Linked DNA regions of Lepisosteus oculatus. The protein of the gene in region 1 interacts with the protein of each later gene in a pairwise test. Links are inferred from orthologs where the notes say so. Each region holds a gene or a part of one and is shown on either strand. Other genes may lie near its edges. The genes, in order: naif1 and sox14.

Region 1 (12,082 bases):
CCTGCCACTCAGCTGCTCAGCAGACAGCAAGAGAAAGAAAGCAGAGACCCCTCTCCTGCAGCCCCTCTGCGTATGCGTGCAGATCGGCACTCCTCTGCCGCTGCTTCCTTCCTGCAGCGAGCACACATCTCTTTCTCAAGGGCTGTACAATCCCGCGGGGGCGACCTCACGAGAGGTCACGAGAGGTCACGACCCACGATGAGGTTTGTCCTTAGGGGAAGCGCACGTGTGTTTCTTCAGCCTCCACAACGACAGGCCCGCGTTTACGTTCATAAAATCGCTTACACACCACCCGACACAGCATATTGTTCTTCAAACATTTGTAATCGCATTAAAAAGGCTTTGAAAAGAACCTTTTAAAGGTGCTATATCTAATAAAGTCATACAGTATCAGAGAGTATATGAGGATATGAGGGTTCTGGCAGTCCGGCTGGGCCCTGAGCTTCTTCAGAGACACTCTGTTGCTCAGGTCCAGTGTCCAGTAGGACAGGAGCTGGTGTCCTTGTGCTCTCACGTGTCCTTCAGGGCTGCCGGTCACTGAGGAGCTCCGATTCCTCACACAGCTCGAGCCCCGGCGACTCATTCGCACTTGGCCCTGGGATTCAGGAATCCAGGAATCCGATGAAGTCCGGGGTGAAATCTACCAGACGGGACTGGAGCTGACCCCGGTTTCCAGCTCTGGACGCCCGCAGAGAGAGCTCTGCAGCTCTTCCAACTTGTCAGCACATCTAGACCGGGGAAGACCCGTTTACCTCAGCCAATGTATTTGATCTTGAGGCGGATATCTGACTGCATCGTTTCAGGTCTGTTATGTGCCGATATCGGTGTGCAGACCACACAAAGTGAGACAGCCCTACGTTATAGTGCCACTTCACCCGAGCACTCCGATTCCTAAATAACAGCTGCCCATCCTCACTAAGACTATAAACAACATTTAAGAATGTAGCCCTTACTTCTGAGTAACTGGGACTGTTGACATGCAGTCTTTGGTGAAGCTTCTTTCCTTCCTGCAGCTGCTGTGGGACAGAGCGCTGTCCCACCACAGGACACATCAGAGACATCCCCCCCTGCAACACGTCCACACACTGACACTCCAGACCAGACCAATGTCACCAGTAAAGCACACACACTCCGAACAGCTCTAGCCCTGATCGCCACCGGCTTCTCCGAGCATAGGAGTTATTGGCAACAAGTCATTCCTGTTTCGTGACACATTCCAGTGCTTTGGAAGACCACTACACAGAAAACACCTGTGTAGCCGTCTTAAAACGTGCGACATGTTGGCATCTCCCAACCGCATATACCTCTGTCGCGATATTATCATCCTTATAATAGTTGTTGCATTTATAAAATTGTCTAAACTTTTACCCTAGACCGTGCGAGACCACCGCGACCGCTTCTCCTCGGGTGTATTAAACCCGCGGCAGATCGACAACTTCTTCGAGAGGGTGTTTGCGGGAGACTGCGTTTTGCTCGGAACCGAACCGGGCGAGAGACGACGGTAAAGTAAACCTCAGACCCAGCGAGCCTGGCGGCCGGGCAGCCTGGCGCCGAGCCGACGGACACACACGTGCGAGTCAGCCTGCCCCCGCTCGGACCGGAGGCCCGTCCCGCCCCCAGCGGACCCCCGCTCGGACCCCCGCTCCACTCACCCTGAGCTCCTTCTCGGTGCGGTGCACGCCCAGCCTCGGGAGCCCGATGGTGAGGTCGTTCACGCAGATGCCGCCGTCCTGGTTCACGTCCAGGATCTGGAACAGGACCTTCAGGCGGTGCTCGCGCTCGTGCTCGTGCTCCGGGTCCCAGCCGCCGGGGTTCGGGTTCGGGCTCGGTTCCGGCTCGGGCCCGGCCGGCGGCTCCGGGGGCCGGGGCGGGCGGGGGGTGCCCGCCCCGCCGCCGGGGTCCGAGCCGGGTCCCGAACCGGGTCCGGGATCCACCGGGTCGCACTGGCAGAAGACGCCGCCGAGCACCGGCCTGTGCTGCTCCATCGCTCTGGGGTCTCTACAGACAGATGTTTCTTCTTTTTCCCTCCTTTCTTTCCCGTCCTGTTGGCTTCGCTACCGTTTCTGGCTCAACGCCGGACGCGTGAGGACTTGTTTTAAAATAAATAAAAAATAAATAAATGAATGAACCTTAAAAAAAGGAGGAGGAGGATGGAGAGAAAGGGAATAATTGCTGCACAGTTTCGGAAATCCCAGTCTGAATCTCCCCTCTGCCCCAGCGGGCGGAGTGTGGGCTCCGGGACAGCGGTCTCTGCTCCTCCTCAATTACACACTCGGACTCGGGCCCCGATCTGCTCCGATCGGTCCGTTTCCCTCCCAGGACTGGCAGCTCCGCTCCCGAGGGCCGGGTCTGTGTGCGGGACGGGTCCGGGCGGGCTTGGCTCTGGGTCCTGACAGCTGAGACGGCCGACAGACGCCGGTGAGTGGAGGCCGGATTCAGGAAGTGAGTCACCGGCTGCCGGCGGGGTGGGCGGGGCCCGGCGCGGATCGACGGGCCTCGCAGCCAATCGCCCTCCCCCGTGTCCTCCTCCGGAGGCCACACGCCCCGCCCCTCTCCTTACCAAAGCACGTTTTTGTCACACGGCCGAGACAACTGTGCTTGCATAGACCCTCTTCAAGAGTTTCACTTGTAACTGTGGGGGAAACAAAAAGACTCTAGGTATTGCGTGTACTAGGCATTCCAATCACAATGTTGCAAAATAGCTTATGGTGACGCCGGTTTTTCTCTGTCGCCTGCTGCAAAGAAATGACGCCTTCATTGTGTAACATGATGCAATTTTTGGGATTGCAGCGTAAGGCTGATTCCTCGAATCGCAAGAGTGAAGAGCGATAGAAAAAAAAGAAGTCAGATGGCGCACATGAATAAGAAAAAATACACATCAATTAGTGAAAACGTCTGACGGGATTTCGGACTTAATTTAATTTTAAACAGCATTGCAACCGCGATTTAATCACCGTGGGTTCTCAAGTGTGCTGATAAAATCAGCCCAAGGGTATTAAAAGTGGATGTCAGGAACTACCCCCCACCGCGCTGCTGAATTCAGCTCGCTGGGGTCTTTGAAGACATGGTGCGTTGATGCTCCTGAAAACCTACCCGACAAGATGGAACTGCTTGTGTTCTGCAGGAACCCATCTTGTGCTGTAATACCAGCATGCATCCATCAGTTGTATTACGAGAGTGAATCCTGGATGCATATCTACAGGACCAAATGAAGACCTAGTCTAGTCCTCTCTTAATGTGAAAAGACACCCCACACTACAATTTGTGTTTCAAAGGTCATTTACTCTTGTAAGATAAGCCCCTCAACATTGAATTTAAGTAAACAGTGAGGCAAGTCTTTTTAAATCACATTTTACAAGGGTGTTGAAAGTCTAAGAAGCACATTCCTAGCCTTGGGCTGGAGTAAAGATAGTTGCACGTAGAGAGGAGGGCGAATAAAATCATTGCACAATACTTTACTCTTAAAAGTATTGGGGAACCCCCACCCCTCAAACAGCACAGGCTCACCTTCTGTGTTTGCACTGCTGCCCCCGAAACAGAGCTTTTTATAAGGCTGCAAGACATACAACTGTTGTCCTTGGTGTGACAGCACTGACTGCCATATAGTCAGGGATACGGACAGATAACTAACAAGATCACTTGGCCAAGGTAAAGGAACCCCAGAAAAACAGATCAGTTCTCAGTGGCAAGAAATATAGATCTGGTTAGAGGATGGTCAGCCAGATGTCCTTCACCTTCCCCAGCTAAGGCAACCCACAGGTCCCAGTTCCGAGCTCAGTTCAGTGTACTTCTCATGCGCTCAAGTGCAATGAAATGCTTATTTGCATGTCTGCTCTGATACATAGACATCAAGTAAGCACCAAACTTAAAACACAGAACAGCAGCAGCAACCACAAGTTAAATAACATCAGCTTAAAAAAAGTCAGACAAGCAGCGTGATAAAAACACATCCGTGTGAGCCAGGGGAAGGGGTGGAGTTCGGTAATCTGACAGCTTGTGGGAAGAAACTCTCTCTGAATCTAGAGGTTTGTGCCTTTATGTTCCTACAACGCTGACCAGAGGGAAGGGGGAGAAAAGTGAGAAACCAGGATGACTGGTGTGCTTAACGATACTTCCAGCCTTCCTGAGACAGCGAGTTGTAAAAATGTTCCAATGATGGACAGGGCTGACCTGCTCACCCCCTGTGACACCTTCCGGTCAGACAGTGAAAACCAGTGGAACACGCACTTCAGACCGACACACTGTACTCCTCAACACAGTCCAGAGCCACAAGCTGTTCAAGATCTACTCACCGCTTATAGAGGATCAACATTTTCAGATGGTTTTGTGAGCATATTAGGAATCAGAAACTCTCATAGATTTAAGATTTTATGTTTCTGTGTACTTTTGTCATGCTCTGAAATTTGGTTTAGTATGATTTGCAAACATGAAAATCTGCATCTATTGGCAGAAATTCTACAAAATCGCAGGGAGCAGTGCAGATTATCACCGGCTCTGCGCTGTAGCCCTGCCTCCTTCTCCAGGCGAGTAGCAGAAGTAGGTGTTTTGTGTAAGAAATACTACTTATATGATGTAACCTGCAGTGCTGTTTTTTTTTGTGCAAATCATCCTAAATTAGGAAATGTGTCCAGAAGATTTTTCTTGGCTTTTCCATTCATCTGTAACCTCTCTCACAGAGCACAAAGAGGCACATGAGCATTTCGAGATGTCGAATTTAATAACCAAAAATAAACCAACCCCCGTGCCCAGTCTCTTTAAAAATAAAAACATTTATGACAGTGGAGTTTCTGCTGGTTTTAAAACGTTTCAGCATTCACCATTCGTGCAAAGTGAACAGTTCAGATTATCTTGGGGAGTTTTTTCTCCAGCAAAGGCGATGGCTGTTTACAAACAAACTTTCAGAGTTTAGAGGCATCTGTGCAATAACTTCCTCACTGGGTGGAGGCTGTAGCTGTAAACAGTAGAAAGATGAAAGCAGCCGGAGGTTTGTTAGATGATAAAAATCTCTTCTTGCAAAACAAGTTGGTACAGAGATACAGTGTAAGTGGATATTAGAAGGTAAGATCATATTTGATAACCTGAGAATAAATTACAAAGTTAAAGGACATATTTTCCTAGGCGTAAACATTTAACACTATTTTTCAATATTTGTATTTGAAGTAACGTACAACGTGAAACCCATTTATAAAAGCAAACAGAGGCTACACGCTCAGTTACCCATTACAACCAGGGCTGTGCAGAATTAAAACCGCCAAGAGCAACTACAACCTTTAGCAAAATGAAAAGCTGTCTTTAAAGCGGATCACTCCCGTTAGTTTAAATATCCGCAAAGATGCGTATAATTTAGTAGCATCAACGGAGATGGGGGCGGGGGGGACAACTCACGAAGCCTTTTTTTTTATTTTTTACAAGGTTATTTTACAGACCGAAAAAAATCCCACACAGGTTTCGAAAGCCGCCGCGATTAGATGCGGTACAGAGATTGTTATATAAAAAAAAACTTTGCGTACAAAAAATAAACAGCAGTCGGCTTAAAATGCCTTTCCGACCGCTTCTCCACACAGCGCCCAGACTGCACACTCCCTGCTCCCCGAGTGCTCGTCTGCTCAACGGGGCCTCAATGGCGCCTACGCTTCCTGTGATTGACAGGCTGGCGTGCGAATCGCTGAAGGGAACCGAGGGGGAGCCCCCCGGGCCCCAACCAATGAAACCGCGGCGTGCGGAGATGGGCGGGGCCCGAGCCATTACGGACGTAAACGTTGCCTGCAAGAGGAAGAAGTCGATTCTGGAAGCCATTACGCTGCGCAGATCTATAGAGTAAATCCCACGGTTTCTACGCACATTACGTACATTATTCTTAAAAAAAGAAGAATTTCTAATAAAATGGCATCTCAGGCCAAGAAGAGGAAAATGAATTTCTCGGAGCGGGAGGTGGAGATTATAGTGGAGGAGATGGAGAAACAGAAGCACGTCCTGGTTAACCACTTCAATGCCGGTGTCACACACATCACCAAGAACAACGCGTGGGTCGAGATCCTGAAGCGGGTGAACGCCGTGACGACCTGCCTGCGGGAGCTGGCCGAGGTCAAGAAGAAGTGGTCGGACCTGAAGACCGAGGTCCGGCGGAAGGTGGCCCAGGCGCGGGCGGCGATGGAGGGGTCCGGCGACTGCACCTCGGTGCCGGTGATCCTCACCTCCATGCAGCAGCGCATCTGCAACCTGCTGGGGGAGGCGACCATCATCAGCCTACCTGCGGGGGACGGGGGCACGGAGATCACGGTGCCCGTGCCCATGAGCTCGGCCACCACAGTGACTCTGACCCAGAGTAAGTGCGCCGTGAACACCGGCTCCGTCAGTGCACGGGGAGAGAGACATCCCTTTCATACCCGGTCACTCAGAGAATATACAGAGCTGTGCATTGCCGGAGATGGCTAACAACGCGAACAGGAACAGCTATAGAAGTGGCTTTTGAAAATGTTAGTTAAAAAAAGAAAAAATACACGCAATAAGAAGCGCACGGTTACAACGCTGTTCTGCACTGGCGTTAGCACGTCTCGAAAGTCGAGCTCGTTCACGTTTTCCCAGCCTAGAGGAGACGTCTTTTTCATTGCACTGCAACATCAGCCTCAAACGTCTAGGCGCCGGACTCGGCTTTTGCAGAGTAAATAAAGCAGCCGAGTTAACTGCCTGGGAGACAAACAGTCTCACGCCTCCTCGTGATTTCTTTCATGTGTCAGTAGGTGGGGCCTTTTGCGATTGGATGCCGTCTTCAAAATCGCACCTGTGTCACAGTCTGAGACTCATATGAGTCGCGCTATTAATAGATGCGCGGTTCAGATTACACGTGTACAGTTATCAGGCTGCACAGACCAGCGTCTGGGCGGCGGTGACGCTAAGGAGGCTGAGCTTCGGGATAAACGCACCGCAGACGAACACTTCTCTGTTCTGGGTAGAACTGTAGTCGGGTTTATGTGTTGTGGCCTCTAATTCAAGGATGTTTGCTCCCTAATGATGGTAGTTTTGTGAGGTGCTCAGGAAATCCATGTGTCACAAGGAGTTAAGCTGACTCCCCTCATGAGTCAAAATAAAAAGCGAAGATGTGCTTCCTGTTCCCAGTTTCAGATGCACTTTTCTTCATGTTCCACCTGCTGGCTTCCTCTGGCTCCTGCTTTCAGAGCGGATGTACTGGGTGAGCCGGTGACCGCGCAGCAGAGGTGCAGGGTGCCCAGTGTGCTCTGCTGCACCAGTACAGTGCTGCAGGGAGCAGGCCAGGCCCTGCAGGGTCTCTCAGCGAGGCAGGGACTCACCGTCTTTATTTTTAACTTGCAGACATTCAGACGGCTTCCTCTTCGGCAGCTTGTGAAGTACAGAAAGCGCTAGAAGGTAAAACATTTTTCTTAAGAGTTGTTTTTACACCTGAGCCATTCCCGAGAAGCCAGGTGGCCCCTCTGTACGGTGAGCGCGAGGTCGCGGGGCCGCAGGCCGGCCAGCTGACGCAGACGTGGACAGCTCAAGGATTCGATTATTGCCATGCTCAAAATGGGGGAAAAAAAAAAGTACTAATGTGGTCCTTTTGTGTAAAATGAGTACATTCAAATTAAATGTCTTTGTTATTTAAGTATTCTTGTTTCCTGACCTACTGGCATTGGATAATACTAAACCTGGAGCTCCTGGATGGAGTTGAAGTTTTTGCGCGGAGAGTCCAGCGCAGATCTTGTGCGTTAGTCCAGAATAATGTGTTCAGAAGGAATACATTCCACTGCAGGACCGTGTTGAGCCCTGGGTGGCACACAGGTGTAGTGGTGAGCATCCCTGTGCTGCTGCCCCGAGGTCCGGGGTTCAGTTCCTGGGGTGCTGTCGGTGTGGAGTTTGTATGTTCTCCCCACATGGTCCCCAAATTGACCCGTCTGTGTGTCTGTGTGTCTGTGTGTCTGTGTGTCTGTGTGTCTGTGTGTCTGTGTGTCTGTGTGTCTGTGTGTCTGTGTGTGTTGTAGCCCTGAGGTCCTGGGTTCAGTTCCTGGGGTGCTGTCTGTGTGTGAGTGTGTGTGGAGTTTGTGAGTGTGTGTGCCCTGCGATGGCCAGACTCCAGAGCCTTCTCAGTGTTTGTCTGTTGCTTCTTCACGCCGGCAGCCGAGACCACCTACCACGCGCTGGAGGAAGGGGTGGTGGAGTACTGCACGACCGAAGCCCCCGCCGCCGTGGCGACGGAGACCCCGGTGGAGATGATCTCGGCCCAGGCCGAGTGCGCCATCAAGCCCCAGGAGCTGAAGAGCCGCATCGCCCTCAACTCGGCCAAGCTGCTGCAGGAGCAGAAGGTGACCAACCTGCACGTGCGGGAGATCGCGCAGCACCTGGAGACCCAGAACGACCTGCTGCAGATGATCCGCCGCTCGCAGGAGGCGCAGGCCTGCGCCCAGGAGCGCCAGGCCCAGGCGCTGGAGGGCACGCAGGCCGCGCTCATCGCCCTCATTCAGATGCTGCGCCCAGCGCTGAAGGACTTCCGCAAGTTCCTGCAGAGCTCCGGCGGCAGCCCGGCCCCGGGGCCCGGCACAGACTCCGGCGAGCCCAAACCAAGGCCCCCGGCGCCGGAGGAGGACGCGCAGTAGGACCCCATCGCGGGCCTGGGCGGGCCAGGCGGGGCCAGACTCTCGTTCGTTCGCGAACAAAGAGAAAAATTGCCGGTTGCGGCGCCGAGGCGGTGCTCTGTAGTGCATTTATTGAAAAGTTAATAGGGATTCCGGACTTTTTTTTGTTCCTCCAGCGAGCACCAAGATGCATCGCGCTGTATGAGCGGTGCGCTGGTTGCGCAGCCCCCTGGCTGGAGGGCATCTGGAAATCGACCTTCGCGCCTCTGTGCAAGCCCCAGCCTGGCCGAGGACGAGGGGAACACCAGGCTTGGCGCACGCGGTTGGACCTAACTGCCCTGTGGGAGCCACCCTCATCCTGGTGTGGGCTTTCGTTTCGGTGGGGGTGGGGAGGGTATTAAGTGTAGCTGTCAGCTGTACGTGAGTGAGAGTTGCAATTTCACAAGTTTTGTTTTTTTCAAATGCAGTTCAGCAATGGTGAACGGTATTCACTCGCTGAGACCTGTGCGGACCTCAAATAAGCCCAGCCTGATGACGGGCATCTTTCTCTCGGAAAGCCGGTACAAAGGAAGAGGTGTAGATCATGACAGACCTCTCTTACACTACCCCAGACCCCTGTGGGCGTGCTGGGAACGGGGGCCGAATACAGACAGGCGACCGTGTCTGACCATGTCTGACCGTGTCCGGGGTGATTTGTTGTGCAGGAGCTCCCCCTGGCGGTGTCTGGCCAGATGGCAGTTCTTCAGGAGCGCCGTGCGGAAAGAGACACGGTGTGGCCCGTGGCATCCCGCCCCGTGTAGTGTGTGTCCGGGTCCGTCACGCCGGCGCGGGGGGGCTTTGGGGCTGGGGGGGTCGTTGTCAGGGTTTTATTAAATCTGGGACAACACTCAGCTCATCTTGGCTTGAACTGTTATTTCAGCACTTGCCTAGTTCTTTTTATTACTGCCTTCCCCCCTTTGTATTTTTATTTTTTATCCCTGCGGAAGTGAGAAGAGGGAGGAATGCATTCAGTCGGGCGTCTTATCGACTCTTGTTTCGTTTTCCCTTTTTTTTTTCCTTCTCCAATAAAAAAATGATGCCTCCTGTTACACTGTCCTTTTTTTTTTTTTTTTTTTTTTTTTTTTTACATGAACTCACGATTTTGATCTGTCTCTGGGGTTCTGCAATGTTGAAGGTAACTCTGCCCACGGACCGTGGAATTCTACAGTTTTATTGCAGCATCTCTGCTCCCTGGGTTAAAAAGCCAGCCTTCTACATGACTGCCATGATATGAGATACACTTTGTTGAGCCAGCTTATGGATGCCCTTGTAATAATATGATTTTAGTCCCTGCAGTTTCTGCACTTTGACACTGTGAGACCTGGACCTCCTTCTCAGCACTGGGAGAGCTTTCTTTCTGCTGAGAACACACACACACACACAGCCTGGCTTTACACAGTCGTCCTGCCCACCTCAAACTCTGGATTTCAAGGCATGACAGTTCAAGATGAAGAAATTATAGATATGTGATCCTTTCATTAAAAGGATAGTTACATACAAATTACCTCAGAGCCTGGGTAGATGTATTCCAGTCGCGCAGTGAAATAAAAAATCAGACCACCTCTGTAGCTGAGGACGGGGCTGGAACAGAACCAGACGACAACAGGCCTCCCAGGAGCTCAGTTTGAGAGCCCTGTCCATGGAGTTACTGAAAACATTGTTGGCTGTGACTGCTCAGCTGTGTGATTTGTACAGTCTGTTTGTACGTGCCAAGATTACAAGTGTGCTTCAGCAATTTGAACGCGAGTGCTAATGGGGATATTCTTTCATTGTGTGCTGGATCTGCGTGATTAGCTACACACCTACGTTTGAAAAGCCCCAGTCTGAGTGCCTGGTAAATTAGACAAACGATTAAGAGGATATCACTTTCCACCCAAATATAAGTCTTATTATCATAACACGGTATTATTTGGCAGCTGTACGACTTTGAATCCGAGTAAGACAATGGAAAGTACTGTTTAGTGAGTATGGCACCCATCCACCTCTGAGCATCAGCCCGCTTCGTGATACGAACGGATATGACTTAATTCAGACAGCAGGTGGCGCTCTATACAAAGTTTCTCCCCCTCTCTTTCACGTGGCTCCCCAACGTTATGTTTAAACCTTTATTTTTAGCGTTTCACAAGGTTTCCGGATCGAGAGCTGCAGACGTGCTCCTGGCCTGTCGATGTTATTTTACTGGGCCGCGAGTCTGGGCGCCACGGGTCGGTCTGAATCCCCTGACAGGCTCCTCACAGATGCAGTCTTCCCAGGACAATGATAACATGACATCACAGTATTCGTTATCATCTTTGACTTGAATTCATCCACCCTCACTGATTTTAATTTTGTGAATGTATTGCCACGCGGGGGGGGGCATTATAATGTTAAATATTTATATGCATATACTATATTATATAATAATGCATATACTATATTATATAATAATGCATATAATATATATGCATATTATATAATAAGAAGGCTATTGAGCCTGGTTCACGTGTGTGAGAGAGAAAAATTCACTATGTCCTACATAGGAAAAGCCTATATAATTCAAGATGCTTTATTGGCATGACCCATGAATAAGTCAGTGTTGACAAACTCTGACAAACGATATCTCTCTCACACACCCGAAGAAGGCTCCACAGCAGAAACGTCGTTTCTTTTCTTCTCTTTTCACCATGGAATAAACCTTGACTTGTTCCTTTGCAGCCAACGCATGCTGATGCAGCTCCCTACTTAAAAAAATCATTACTATTATTTTGTACAAATATCACCAAAAGCTGTCACAGCAATGCTCCAAAAGTGCCGGCAGTAACTTCTTAGTTCCTCTGTAGTAGAGGTTTGTGGTTGTGAATCTCACCCGTCCCCCAGTCCTCCCTCAGGCCAGTCAAACTGCGCAGTTTCCATGAGAACTGCTCGCGTTGTCTCTCGCCGGTGGTATTCTGCGTTTGCCACTACGCCCGTCGTGGGGAAGAAGCCGTGCTGCGTGGGTTCCGTAAGAAACGCGAGTCCGGCGGGGCTCGGCTGTGCGCAGGGCCGGTGACGTGCGGGGCTGGGAGGCGGCGCCTGGCTGCCTGCACACGGGGAGAGGAGGAGGGCTTATGCCGGCCGGGGGCTTGTGACTGCGGGCCAGTGAGTGGTGGAGCCACGAAGAGAAGCGGTCGCGTTCCTGTGCCACGGGCGCTAATATTTGGGTGCCTGTTTGTGATCATTATTTTTTTTAAATAATTGGAGGTATCAAGCCCGGCATTAGGTTTCCGGAGGCTGGCTCCCGTGCTCGCCAGCGGGCGGCAGTGTGCAGGACTGCAGTCTGGATGAGACCGAGCGAGTCGCGTTCATTGTGATTCAGCGCAGGAGCGCAGACCGCGGCGCACCGCTTTGGAGGAGGAGATCATCTCCCCTGGCGGGCGAGCAGGCAGGCTAGAAGCTACCAGGAGGACTCATCTAGAAATCCGCACAGGAAAATTAAAAAA
Region 2 (12,274 bases), on another chromosome or scaffold:
TTATTGCACACGTGGTCACTGCTGGAATCACCATCAACTGTACATCTGCAGCACCAGGTGCTATACACCAGGTTGCAGATACTGTGTTGTGAGACTGCCCAGTTCCTGTTATACAGTCTGGGCAAGCATGTGCCTCTTCACTGGTGTCTGAATGGTAGATTTCATATGTTGTCTCAGCTCAACTCAAGAATGTTCATTGAGGCTCCTGTTCATTGATTAGGGTATCCACAGCAGAAAATATCACATTCTCATCTCACAATACAAGCACAAGAAGCACAAGGACGTGCTTCCTGCTTTACTGCTTCACTGGTGAACCCATCTGGTGTATTGCTTATATTACCTCATTCTGTAGTGTTGATGAACATTGGTTGGTGATGGACCACTGTGTGTATTCCTTCTCTTTAAAAATTGGCTATTTAGCTGCTTCCTCACAGTTGAACTGCTCAGGTATGGACTATTATGACCTGGTGCTTCTGAAGCAGTGGAAATGGCAGTGCAGAAATGAGCATCAAGATGGAACTGTTATGTCATTAACATCACGCCCCCAGAGGACTCATCGCCCTCAGTCAACACCCTCCCATTGCTCCTGTGTTTCTCTGCAAGACTCCTAGTTTTACGGACTCCAACCTCGGCTTGTTTTCTGACAACGTCTCTTGGTTCTTGATTTGATTGTAGTGGATTCTTCTGCCTTTTGACCCTGGCCTGGACTTTGGACTTGCAAATTTGGATTAGTGTCTACAAGAAAATTTACGTTCACAGGATTCTGCATAGGGTCCTTAGACACAAGATCGTTACAGGAGCATAATGATGCATCAGTCCTGACCTGGTGTCATGACTCATGGTCTCCTTGGTCATGACCTATTATTAATAGATTGTGTTTGGCTAGAATATCTTGCCAGGTAAGAAGTTCCTGGTTCTGATAACCCCAAACAATGAGCAACACAATGCTACATTTGTCCATTTTCCAAAATATTGATAGTACAAAGGCACTGTCCTCATATGTGGGACATATCCCTTTCTTCCTGTTTTTATATCTTTGTTTCTTCCGGCTTTGATTTTCATTAAGCTGAACCTCCCCTCTGTGCCCAATCAATTCTCTCTCAAGTTCTAGTGCTTATTCAATCATCAACCTCACTCACGTGTATCACAGCCAATCACAAATAAATTAGTAATTAAGAATAGTGCCAAAAACGAATTATCAATATATGCACGGAGCTATATGTTTCTTTTGATGCTCAATTTAAAAGTAGGAATGAGAATTGTAGTCCATATTCTGTAACATCACTCAGTATTTAAATCAATAAAAGATGGTAAATATGACACACCTTGTTCACTTGTGTCTTACAGTCTTATACACATTGTTGGCTTAGTGACACCAGAGAGAGCACTCACACAGTCTGGTCCAGTTACACATTTTATTGCAGTGGTAGCATGAAAGGATGAAAGGGAAACCACAGAGATCTCTAAGCCTCCTTCTCTCTTTGATAAAGCATTCTTAGCAAGTTTTCTGATCATTTAAAGGTGAGCATGGCCATCAATACTCATCCCAAACACGAAAAGACTAAATGCATCTTTCTGTGGCACAATGCTGGACCTGGTTCCTATTCCAGATAACAGCAGGGATCTTTCACATCTTGTTTATTATTGTGGTGCAAAATGCGAGTTAACTCTAGAGGTTCAAAAACAACATGAAGTAAACCACCTTAGAGTATATGTGTCAGACATTGCCAAAAGAAGAAAAGAGTCAGCCTTCCAGCTCAAAAGCAAAGCATATTCATGACTGTTATCAGGCTGTTTTTTTCCAACCAGTGCTTTGAACTGTTCATTCTGTTGTATGTACAAGGCTGTGTTGTTGCTTATGGTTACATTTCCAACATCCTATATCTTGTTTCTTGGGTTTTGTCCAGTTGCTCTATTCTGGTGAAACAAAAATAGCCTGTTGGATGCTATCCTTAATTGTTGACCTAATACTATGCAAACGTTTGTGTTCAAGTGTCTTTTTGGAGTGCTGTGAGGTTTTATTAGTCATGGAAAGTAAGTTATTGACCTTTATAATAGGCATAAAAAGCTGTTCAACTTTCAAAGATTGTACTGAGCATTCGGGCTCATAGCAAATATGCTGTTTTTTTTCTTATTAGAGAATGTGCACCCGTTAACGTTAGTTTGAAATAAAATCCATAAATCCTTTTATATTTTAAAATGTAATTTATTATTTCATGCAAAATCACAACCATTTCAGAGTCCACTACTTTTCATTTTAGATTTAAACTGAAGCGACTCTACACTTGACCCAGATAGCACGTACATTACACGTGGATAGTTTAGTAAAATAAGTGTTTCGGATAACCAACAGACATAAAATTCGATGGCTGGAGTCCTACTTGTCCCTAAAGTTTCAGGTCATTTATGTAACAAAGTTAAAGACATATTAACCTTACCGGACCATTACGTCAGTACATTGTCAGTACAGTAATGGTTAGGGGCTGCAGACTCCAGCCTGGAGGCCTGTGGGTTCAAGTCCTGTGCTGGGCGCTTTGTTGCGTCTTTGAGTGAGGCAGACAGTTCTACTGCATAAACGAGTCTCCAAATCGCCATTGCAACTGAGACTTTGATCATAATTGAGTTCCCCGGTGAAGTTAAGTAGTATACAGAAGAGAAACCTTTAGTTTTCTTCCACTGCAGAAACATATTTGAATTATGTTTCTAGGTCGAAACTTTACCGTTATTTTTCGTGACAGTAGTTTGCAACTGATAAAACACAAATCAGAAATAAGAGTAAACAATATATTGGCATCAAGAACGGATGAAAGGGCATTTTATTTTGTGTGGGCGTATGTGTTCTATATATGAAAACATTAAACACATTTATTTAAAAAAAACGCTTGTGTTATAACACTCTTATAACTGCAACGATCGCAGCCTAACTCGGTTAGAAAATAGCAGTTTTGAACCTGTATTAATAGTCATACAGAAAGAAACAATAAATTATGTTAATCCCGTATGATGTAAAACAGCACATTTCATATCTGATTCTGAATAAATACTCAAATACACCATCATAACCAAACACATTTTATACATTTATAATGTTCTTGTAAGCTTATATCTGGAAGCAGGGCTACAATAAAGTTTTGAGCATCAAATTATGCGTTTAGCCTCTTTTCATTACTCGAAAAATATACTCTAAGACCTGGAGTTCAAATGAGTTCTCAGAGTCCTTCATTTTCCAAAATATAGGCCTACCATAAACTATTTTCTTTATTCAGACGCTTGCGAAATAACAAAACATCATTTAAAAGTACATTTAAATCCACTCATAGACTGATAGCACATACTTTACAGGGAAGTCGGTCCCAATTTTACGCGCTCCATCTAAAATCCACTCCGAAACCGAGGTTTACCACATTCAACGAAGACTGACTCTGAAATGTTGGCTGAACTCCCTCGTTTGTACCATAGACAGGTGTTCAACAAATCAATACTGAGGATATATATACTAATATATTGAGGATATTTATGCCTTTTTAGTGCTTTACAATCATGTTAGTAATAATAAGTTGCTTTGTAAGAATGTATTTTTCCACCTTAATTGGAATAAAGAAAACCCTATCACATTTCCCCTAACACTCTTAAATAGCATTATTATGCACTAATGACGTGACACTATTAATAGTGAACAATGCCCGTCTGTCACTCTCACAATATTCCGTCTGTATCCGTGGATGTATACTATTGCAACATCAATTTAATAAATACCATTATTTATTCTTTGCTGTTTGGGGTTCTGCTTATATTGCATTTAATGGTTATATAGAAGACACCACTGTCAGGGTTGTTGTAATGAAAGGCTTTCTCTGTGAAGCACAAATAAAATATTTTCCTTCCAGTTGTAAATTCCGCGATGTTATGGATTGTGTAGGGGGCAACCCCTTCCAGAGGAAAGGTGCTAATCTAGGTATTGTTGGGAAGAAAAAAACGTAACGCGTTAATAAAACCTAGTCTTTGCCGCTTGCCTTTCCCCGACAAAACGAACACTTTTCATCCTGTGAAACTGCCACGGTTACAACACGTGGAGACGTTACCTCTTGACTTTCGTTTCCTTCCGCTACTGTTAAGCGATTTAGTTCACACAAAAATACGAAGTTTATACATTAGAAGCAATTTGCAAGTTGAAACCGAAACAGGGAAAGTGGTTATACTGTATGAATCTGCGTGGTGTTCTGTGCTATAGCCTTTTAATACTGATTATCCTATCCCGTTTCTCTTGCTTTCATCGATTTCAAAAGCTTCTGTACGCTTCCTGATGCGGTATCTTGTAACAGTGACGGTATATTAGAATGTCACATCGCATCAGTACCTCAAGCTTAAATAAAATAATGGAGTGCTGTAGGATTGCTAGACTGGCACACTGTTAACAACAGCAAGAATCCTAGAAATGCACACCATTTAGCTATCTGTGACGGTCGTCTTGAAAACACAAAGTCCTTCTTTATGTGTTTCTGTGCGTATACGTACCCACTTGGTTTGTTCATACATTTTACCAGGGATCTCGATTTACAACACATAGTCTATTGTATACGTACCTGTGTGTTCCCAAATTCCGAATCCAGGTCTAGCATTAGTTTACAGCTGACGAGTTTTTGAAATGGCCTTATCGCCCTATGTTTAGACGCAATTAATGCCTTTCAAAAGTCGTTTTAACAACCATCGCTTATTATCACTGTATTATGTAGTGGGGCATAAGTCAATTAATTAAGGATAAAAAGGCAATATTTTAATGAACTCCTAATGCTCAATAAAAAGTTAAAATTGTGAATGAGAAGCGTATGAAACTGATATGAGTAGTATTCGTCTGTTTCCCCCCACTTGATTTTTCATCATCTAAAGACTGAGATGTATGATAGCACCTCTATTGAGCTGAAATACAGGCAGCGTGCCTTAAATCGAAAAAGCAGGTGTGTTTTAAGTTAAAGCACTGGATTTGAGAGCTTCTTTGATTTTGTGTGTGTGCATATATTTCATTGGACTATCTGTTTATTCCAAATATAGAGGATGGGTAACCTTGAGTACCACATCACTTTTGTTTCCTCCACTCTTTCACTTCTGCCACCTTTTCACTTCCTGATTTTCCCTTTTCATTTACTGACGCTTACTTACCACTTAATTACGGGTTTCGCATTCTCAGCTAATTCGGTGCGCCGAGCCTCTTTTCATGTAAATATAGACGTTGTCTGCTGGAATGTGATGTGCCCTGATAATTCTTGTTAATTCCTGCCGTAATTTATATTGTCGCAATTATAACGCTTTGATGTTCTCGGAATTTCGAGCTGCGTTGCTTACAAAACGCTGGGGAAAAGAGACGACGTTTAAAAAAGTAGAAATATTACAGGAACGAAAAAGGAAAGTAAAACGGGAAAAAAAATCAGATCTGCTCAGGTTCTGTAATCTAATACTTCTATAGAGACTCTAAAGAACAATAGTGAAGATAATTTGAATGTTGATTTTGTTCTAAGTGTACAACTGAAGAAAGAACAGGAATACTTAATATCTTACCCCCCCCTCCGTAAATTTGAATATTTATGGAAAAAACAATTCACTGGCATCAACTTCTCCTTTTCTAGGGAAAAAAAACATCTGAAACATCCCGTGTTACATTATAATACTTAATGCATTTTATTGTGAAGCCAAAATTCTAAACGAACTTAACAGTTTCTTGTTTAATTTTCATTCTCTCTGACTTAACCTTCGTGACCCGATTACAAGCTAAATAAAACGTTTCACCACAGCAGCGAATTACTTCAATTAGCCAAACACATGCTTTAAGTCATTATTTCACGGCTTGTAACAGCAACAACAACAGCACACACAATCAGAATAATAGAAAATGAAAACATACAGCGAGAAAGCCAGCCGTCTCCATAGATGCAGAGCGGAGGGAAAGTAAAAGTTCCCTGGGAGACCAAGCAGGTGAGGCGCCACATCTCAAAAGAGGAATTGAAAGTTCGCAAAATTTGACTTTGTTTTGGGTTAGTGTTTAGGTGGCAGGTACTCTGCAGTCGAGCACAACCTACTGGATTAACTACGGACTTCTCTCCCTCTTCAAAGCATATACTGTACGCTAGCTATGAGGGTTTTACGGGATTTGGATAAAAATGCAACAGCTGTATGTAATAATAGGGGTAAACATAAAAATGTACACCATATCTCATTGTAATATGTTAAAACTTTAAACTAAGGACTAAATTGAAAGGCAATATTTGAATTAATTATATGGTTGTACCCAACGACTGCAAATGTACTGTATAGCATACAAAGAGCGCATTAGTCTTCAAAAGAAAACATTCAAATATACTTTATATAATATGCTATATATATTTATGGTGAAACATATTGCTATTTCACTTATGACTGTGTGTTTTACATTTTATTTCTCATTCAATTTCTTTTAAAATTGTATTTTTTTTATTTTCTGTTTTTATGAATGAAATACCTAAGTGATTTTTTTAAAACGACACACATTTAATATTTTCAGTCCTTGTTCATATTTCAGCTTCGTGCCAGACTCATTTTATCAGGGATCACTTATACATTTCACTTAATAATCACAACTGAGCGAGTCATACATCAACCTCGTTTTGCCTGCGGGTCACTGAAGCAGTGATCTGTTTGAACAGACGAATTTGCATGTTGTAACTATTATTACGTGCTATCCTCTTTTGGGGAAGCACACTCGCGTACTAAATAGCTAAAAATCTAAATTGCAAGACCATTGCCAGATGATAGGTGTGTCACATTGTACTTGGGACATATGTTAAAACGGGACAGTAAAAAATAAACAATGATTCGTATGGAATTAGAAACCATTGTGGGACAAACTAGGTGTACCGACGTAATGTATTTTAAAACGGCACCACAATCATAAAAGATCATTCAGAATTCCCCTTTTAACATTCCACATTGTCACATTTACTGTAAATGTTATCATACTTCATTTGTTGTTGTTGTTGTTGTTTTTAGTTTTGAAACATTGCAAACAGCACAATTGTATCTTCCACGTTTAGTTTTCGATTCTTGGGGGCTCAGAACGCGACCATTAAATCAGAATCCAGGCATGTTCTACACGAGGTCGTTGTGTACTGAGATTAGTGCTGCAAAAACAGGTGCAAAAAATGAAAGCTTTAACCAGCTACGTCCCAAAGGAATTCTGGACAATTGTTCTCATTTAATACACATTTCCCTTCAGGGGATTGTCACATTAGACAGACTATTATTTATTGAATTGAGCTCTTGCTAGTTGATTTCCTAGACTGCTAATAATATTTAGAATGTGGTTTCATCGTTTTGAAGTGTAGAACTAATTTCCTCGAGTAATGTTTGGTAAATATTTGGTCAAAATATTCGACACTATGAATTTCCACATATACGAACAGTATATAAAGATAACGGTTTCAAACTGTAGAAAAGGGTGTCTAAAGTCGGCTTCTAGTTGTATTTTCAGTGACAACATTTTGCATTGGTATTAGAAACGGTAATGTTTTGTAAGCAAATATGTAAAACGGACTTTTGAATTCTTTGGTTAAGTCGTTTGCATAGACTGGGATTCAGAGAGGTTCGTTTGCCGCTATCTCCTTAGGATTTGTACCCTTAAAACCCTGGTTTTATTGCAAGAAGGCTGAAGGGCTATGTTTGTACCATTTTGAGTAAATGGATTCGGGCAGGGAAAAAAAGTAACCCTTTTTTTTCCTCCCCAATCTTTGTTTATGTAGTAATATACATATTTTTTGTAAAGGTATTACGTCTCTCTCTCCGTGCTGATTGGGCGCCCAGGTTGGTAAGTGAACGCCCTGCGATTATGTCAGATTGCGTGCAGACCAAACCAGCCCAGCCTTTGAACTTCACCGCTTTTGGCTCTCATTCACCAGCTTTTCCTCATTTCCAAGCCAGGTGCTTTGCAAGGCGAGACACCTCCAAGAAAAATACAAACAGTTTAAGCCTAATCGCCATCGGAACTCGCATCACCTTGGTGGATCTTGCATATGTACGGCTACCATACATTGCCACTGAAGTACAGAACCCATTTTTTTTTCAAGAAGAAAATATTTATTCTCGTGTTGATTACTGGAGAATCGGCCCCTGGATTTTTTATTCTTCTTCGTTTTTTAGCCTTTTTTCCACTCATCTGAGAACTGGTATGATCAGTTACGATCTACGGGACAGGTGAACTGATTTCCTGCTTGGTGAACTAACTTCTGTTGTTCTTATAAAAGGGGATAAAAAAAGGACGGTATTTAAAATGTCAAAGCCTGTAGATCACATTAAAAGACCCATGAATGCCTTCATGGTTTGGTCCCGGGGCCAAAGGAGGAAAATGGCACAGGAAAACCCCAAAATGCACAATTCGGAAATCAGCAAAAGACTCGGAGCCGAATGGAAACTGCTTTCGGAATCTGAAAAGCGACCTTACATCGACGAGGCGAAGAGACTGAGAGCGCAGCACATGAAAGAACACCCAGATTACAAGTACAGACCTAGACGCAAACCCAAGAATTTGCTGAAGAAAGACAGGTATGTCTTTCCCTTACCCTACCTCGGGGACACGGATCATTTGAAAGGACTCCCGGTCTCGGCCACAGACTCCCTTTTGGGTTCATCAGAAAAAGCCAGGGCGTTCCTCCCACCGACTTCAGCGCCTTACTCCTTTCTCGACCCCAGCCAGTTCAGCTCCAGTGCCATTCAGAAGATGGCAGAGGTGCCCCACACTTTGACCACCAGCACTTTGCCCTACGCCTCCTCCTTAGGATACCAGAACGGCGCTTTCGGCAGTTTGAGCTGCCCCAGTCAGCACACTCACACCCACCCGTCACCCACAAACCCGGGTTACGTGGTTCCCTGTAACTGTACCGCCTGGTCAGCGTCTAGTTTACAGCCCCCAGTTGCCTACATACTTTTCCCAGGTATGACCAAGACTGGAATAGACCCCTACTCTTCAGCCCACGCCGCTGCTATGTAACATTAAGCCAGATTTATTTCTGAAACTTGAATACTACAATGCATGTAAATAAAAGACTGTGAGAAAAAAAAAAACTTAAAGAAATGAATGACCAATCACTAACTGAAGCCGTGGACTTCTGTTTTAAAGAAAACGAACAAAAAACTTTTTATGATTATTAACAGGACGCTTCTACAAAGACCTCAGCACGGAACTTGGAATAGCTATAAGGCAGGCGCCCCGAGAACTGTAAGAATTGTAAATGTTAAAACGTTTATTGCTGGCTACCGAAATAAAAAGGCGGCCTTTAAGTTTATTTATTATGTACATTTTGATGCTATAATAACTGTTTTGTTTTAATGATTAATATTATAATTATTTCCAAAACATTTTTGGTTTGCACAGTTCAGAAGTACCATTTTCATGTAAAAATATAATAATATCTTGACACAGAATTTTTTGAATCACAAGTGTCAAAAATAGGAGTTCTGAATTTTTAAAAAAATATGCGGAATATATTGTTTATATTTATGGAACAGGCACAATAAATTAGATTGTTTATTTAAAATATCCAATGAAAAAAGTCAGTCCTTATGCTTTTTTATTTTATTTTTTACTTTTTTGTGGTCCAGTGCAAATAGTCACACGTTACATTTAATTTTAGAGAGCACTTCAAATATGAAGTCAGGCAGTTTAATGTTGTATTTTTTAACTAAAATGGTAATTTAATCATGTTAAAGTATGTCATGGAAAGAAAAAAAAATGTATCCAGAAGGATGTTACCTCGTATCTCTGTTCATTTGACGGGCACAGACGTTTTGAATAAAGACAATCTGTCTTCAAAAATATAAAATATGTTGTATGATTATATATTGCAAATATTACTTATAATTTAGTTGCGTGTGTTAGAAAAAAAACCGATTTGGACACATCCCCTGCATCCAAAAATGAATCCTGGTGGCATTTGGCCTACTGCTCAAACTTCATAAGATTAAGATTTTTCTCCGTGTTACAAACTGAGGGATGCTTGTGTTAAAGACAAGTGCACGAACATAAGAGGGATATATAATTGACACGTTGTGAAACTTCTGAAGAGCTTGTTTTTCACTCAATTTTATCTTTTAGTCCGTGTGACCTGGAGTTGAATCTCAAACTCGTGCCAAAGATACAAGGTGAACTATGGTTTAAGATGCGATGTTTTTCTAGTTTAATACTATATTAAATACCACAGGCTTATGTTTTGTTTACTTAAGAGTGCAATTCAGTTTTCTTCTGAATATTAGTCTTGTTACGTGTTTTTATCTTTATGTAGTGAAATTGCTCTAAATCTGTCGTTGGTGTATTTGTGGATACGCTTCTTTGGGAAATACACTTGCTTGCGATTCGGTGTGAAAAGGCTACAGCGTTGAAGCGTAGCAAGGAAATAAAGGCAGCTTAACCATGTTGTGCTAGACAATTAGTAGTGTTTGAAAAACTGTTAGCAGGGATCATTTATCAGCCCGGTTGTTAAAGGAAGCTGGGGCTTTTCATTAAAGAGAGTAGCAGTTGTCCATCTGGTTCCACTGAATTGCAATGTGATCCGTCTTGTCTGCGCAACGTTTCCAGAAGTGTAGTAGCGAGACTGTCAGAAAAATGGCACAACACAATTAACAAACACGGGACCCGGTAACATAATAGAAGCCTCAAAATACGAGCGGATGAATTAAAGATCAGGCTGGGACAAACAAAAGAGGGAAAATCAGTTTAGAGAGTGGGGGTGGTTAGAAAGCTTATCCACGCTGTTTTAGCTTCACAAAACACTTCACACAGAAGGACAATTAGTGAAAAGAGTGACTCGAGCAGCATTCAAAGGTGAACAATTATCGCTTTTGCTTTGGCGCAGCTTTCGAGTTAATTTCTTAAACGGAGTAGGGCGGAGTGCATCTAGGGCGCTTCGAGAAAAAGTGAACGAACCGGGCTTTGATAATAGATGCACTGGGAAGGTCAGCAACAAAGAGCCGCGGCCCACCTGATGTAACTCGGACTGACATTTGCTGTCACCTCTTATCCGGTTTTGCGTGTGTCCATGTCAGACAGGTCTACTCCATTTAAGCTTTGCAAAACAAAAATAAATATCAATAGTAGTGAGATTGGGCAAGACTGCGAATAGTCCCTTTACATATGCTTCCCATTAAGAATAAAAAGCAAATGTATAGTATTGATCGCGTATGCTACATTTGAAGAAACTGAGAATTTCATGCTTTTAGTTACTGCTGAACATTTAATGTTTCAGGTATAACTTGATTCTAGTTCTCAGGCTACATACCCTTTCGTACTTAATTAAACAAGTGAAGCACATACCAAGAAAAGGAAAACGTGTTTAGTTGTAGCTCTTAATTTCCCCTTTGGTCGCATGGAGTCACGAATCATTTTAATCACTGCTGAATTGTTGTTTGCCGTTTGAGGTGCGTATTTCACGTGGCTTGTAATTTTGCAGTTTTGCCATGTTCATTTTTATTTCGCAGACAAAGGTTCGCAGACCTGTTTGTAATCTGGTTCCTAAAACCTGGTCTCTGCCTTCAGTTGTGCAAGCAATGTTATTCAATCATCGTGACACTGAAGTGAAACGATTACTACGTTTGATATCCAAACGTGTAGGAGAGCGCTTCCCTCGAGGGCATTTCTTCTTGTCCGACCTGTTTGACAGCACCTTGTCTGTCTTTCAGAGGAAAATCATTAAAACGCACGAGATGCTTGTCTGTACTTAGACAACATTTCTTAACTTCAGCTGTGCAGACGGGCACGTGAAGGTCTGTACGGGTTGAGGAGAGGTTGTAGCTGAAAACCACAGCAATTGTTTTTATCTTATTATTATCGCCCCAATTGTAACGTGTGCCCTGCGAGCTGTTACTGGTTCCAATGATTTTGATCACGAAATGCGCAACGTTATAAATGTTATCTTCAATAAGAAAAAAACATACAACTACTTTTTAAGAAGCAGAGGCTGTAGCATTTTAAGCTGGTTTTCCTTTAGCGTCGCTTAAAAAAAGAACTGCTAGCATTGCAGTTAGTGAAACTATTACAGAACTGAGTTGTTTTGCTATACAGGCATGGTGATTTTCTTATACATAATGGAACTGGGAAAGGTGATCTATAAGCTACCAAGCAGGCAATTAGTTTGAACTTAGTTGTAGTCTAATTTGCTTTACTTTGTAGAAGAACTGATAAGTTCTAAATCCTCATGTTGGAATACAACTCTTAAAATACTACCACCGTGAGAAACAAATCTTTTTTATTAAGGTTGCG

What was found.
Region 2: the proteins of naif1 (region 1) and sox14 interact in binary tests that used the Homo sapiens proteins (3 or more experiments, as listed by UniProt). The two-hybrid records come from large-scale screens. The link is inferred for Lepisosteus oculatus from reciprocal best matches to the Homo sapiens genes NAIF1 and SOX14.

What each region holds. Positions count from the first base shown.
Region 1 is NC_090719.1:15,241,017-15,253,098, forward strand, and holds naif1 (nuclear apoptosis-inducing factor 1), read left to right. Parts: upstream 1-5,760; 5' UTR 5,761-5,883; coding exon 5,884-6,325; intron 6,326-7,329; coding exon 7,330-7,383; intron 7,384-8,130; coding exon 8,131-8,606; 3' UTR 8,607-9,670; downstream 9,671-12,082. Other genes in the region: calcium-binding mitochondrial carrier protein SCaMC-2-B, read right to left, coding at 1,653-1,985. UniProt on the Homo sapiens protein: Induces apoptosis.
Region 2 is NC_090708.1:12,130,620-12,142,893, forward strand, and holds sox14 (transcription factor Sox-14), read left to right. Parts: upstream 1-7,899; 5' UTR 7,900-8,293; coding exon 8,294-9,010; 3' UTR 9,011-9,842; downstream 9,843-12,274. UniProt on the Homo sapiens protein: Acts as a negative regulator of transcription.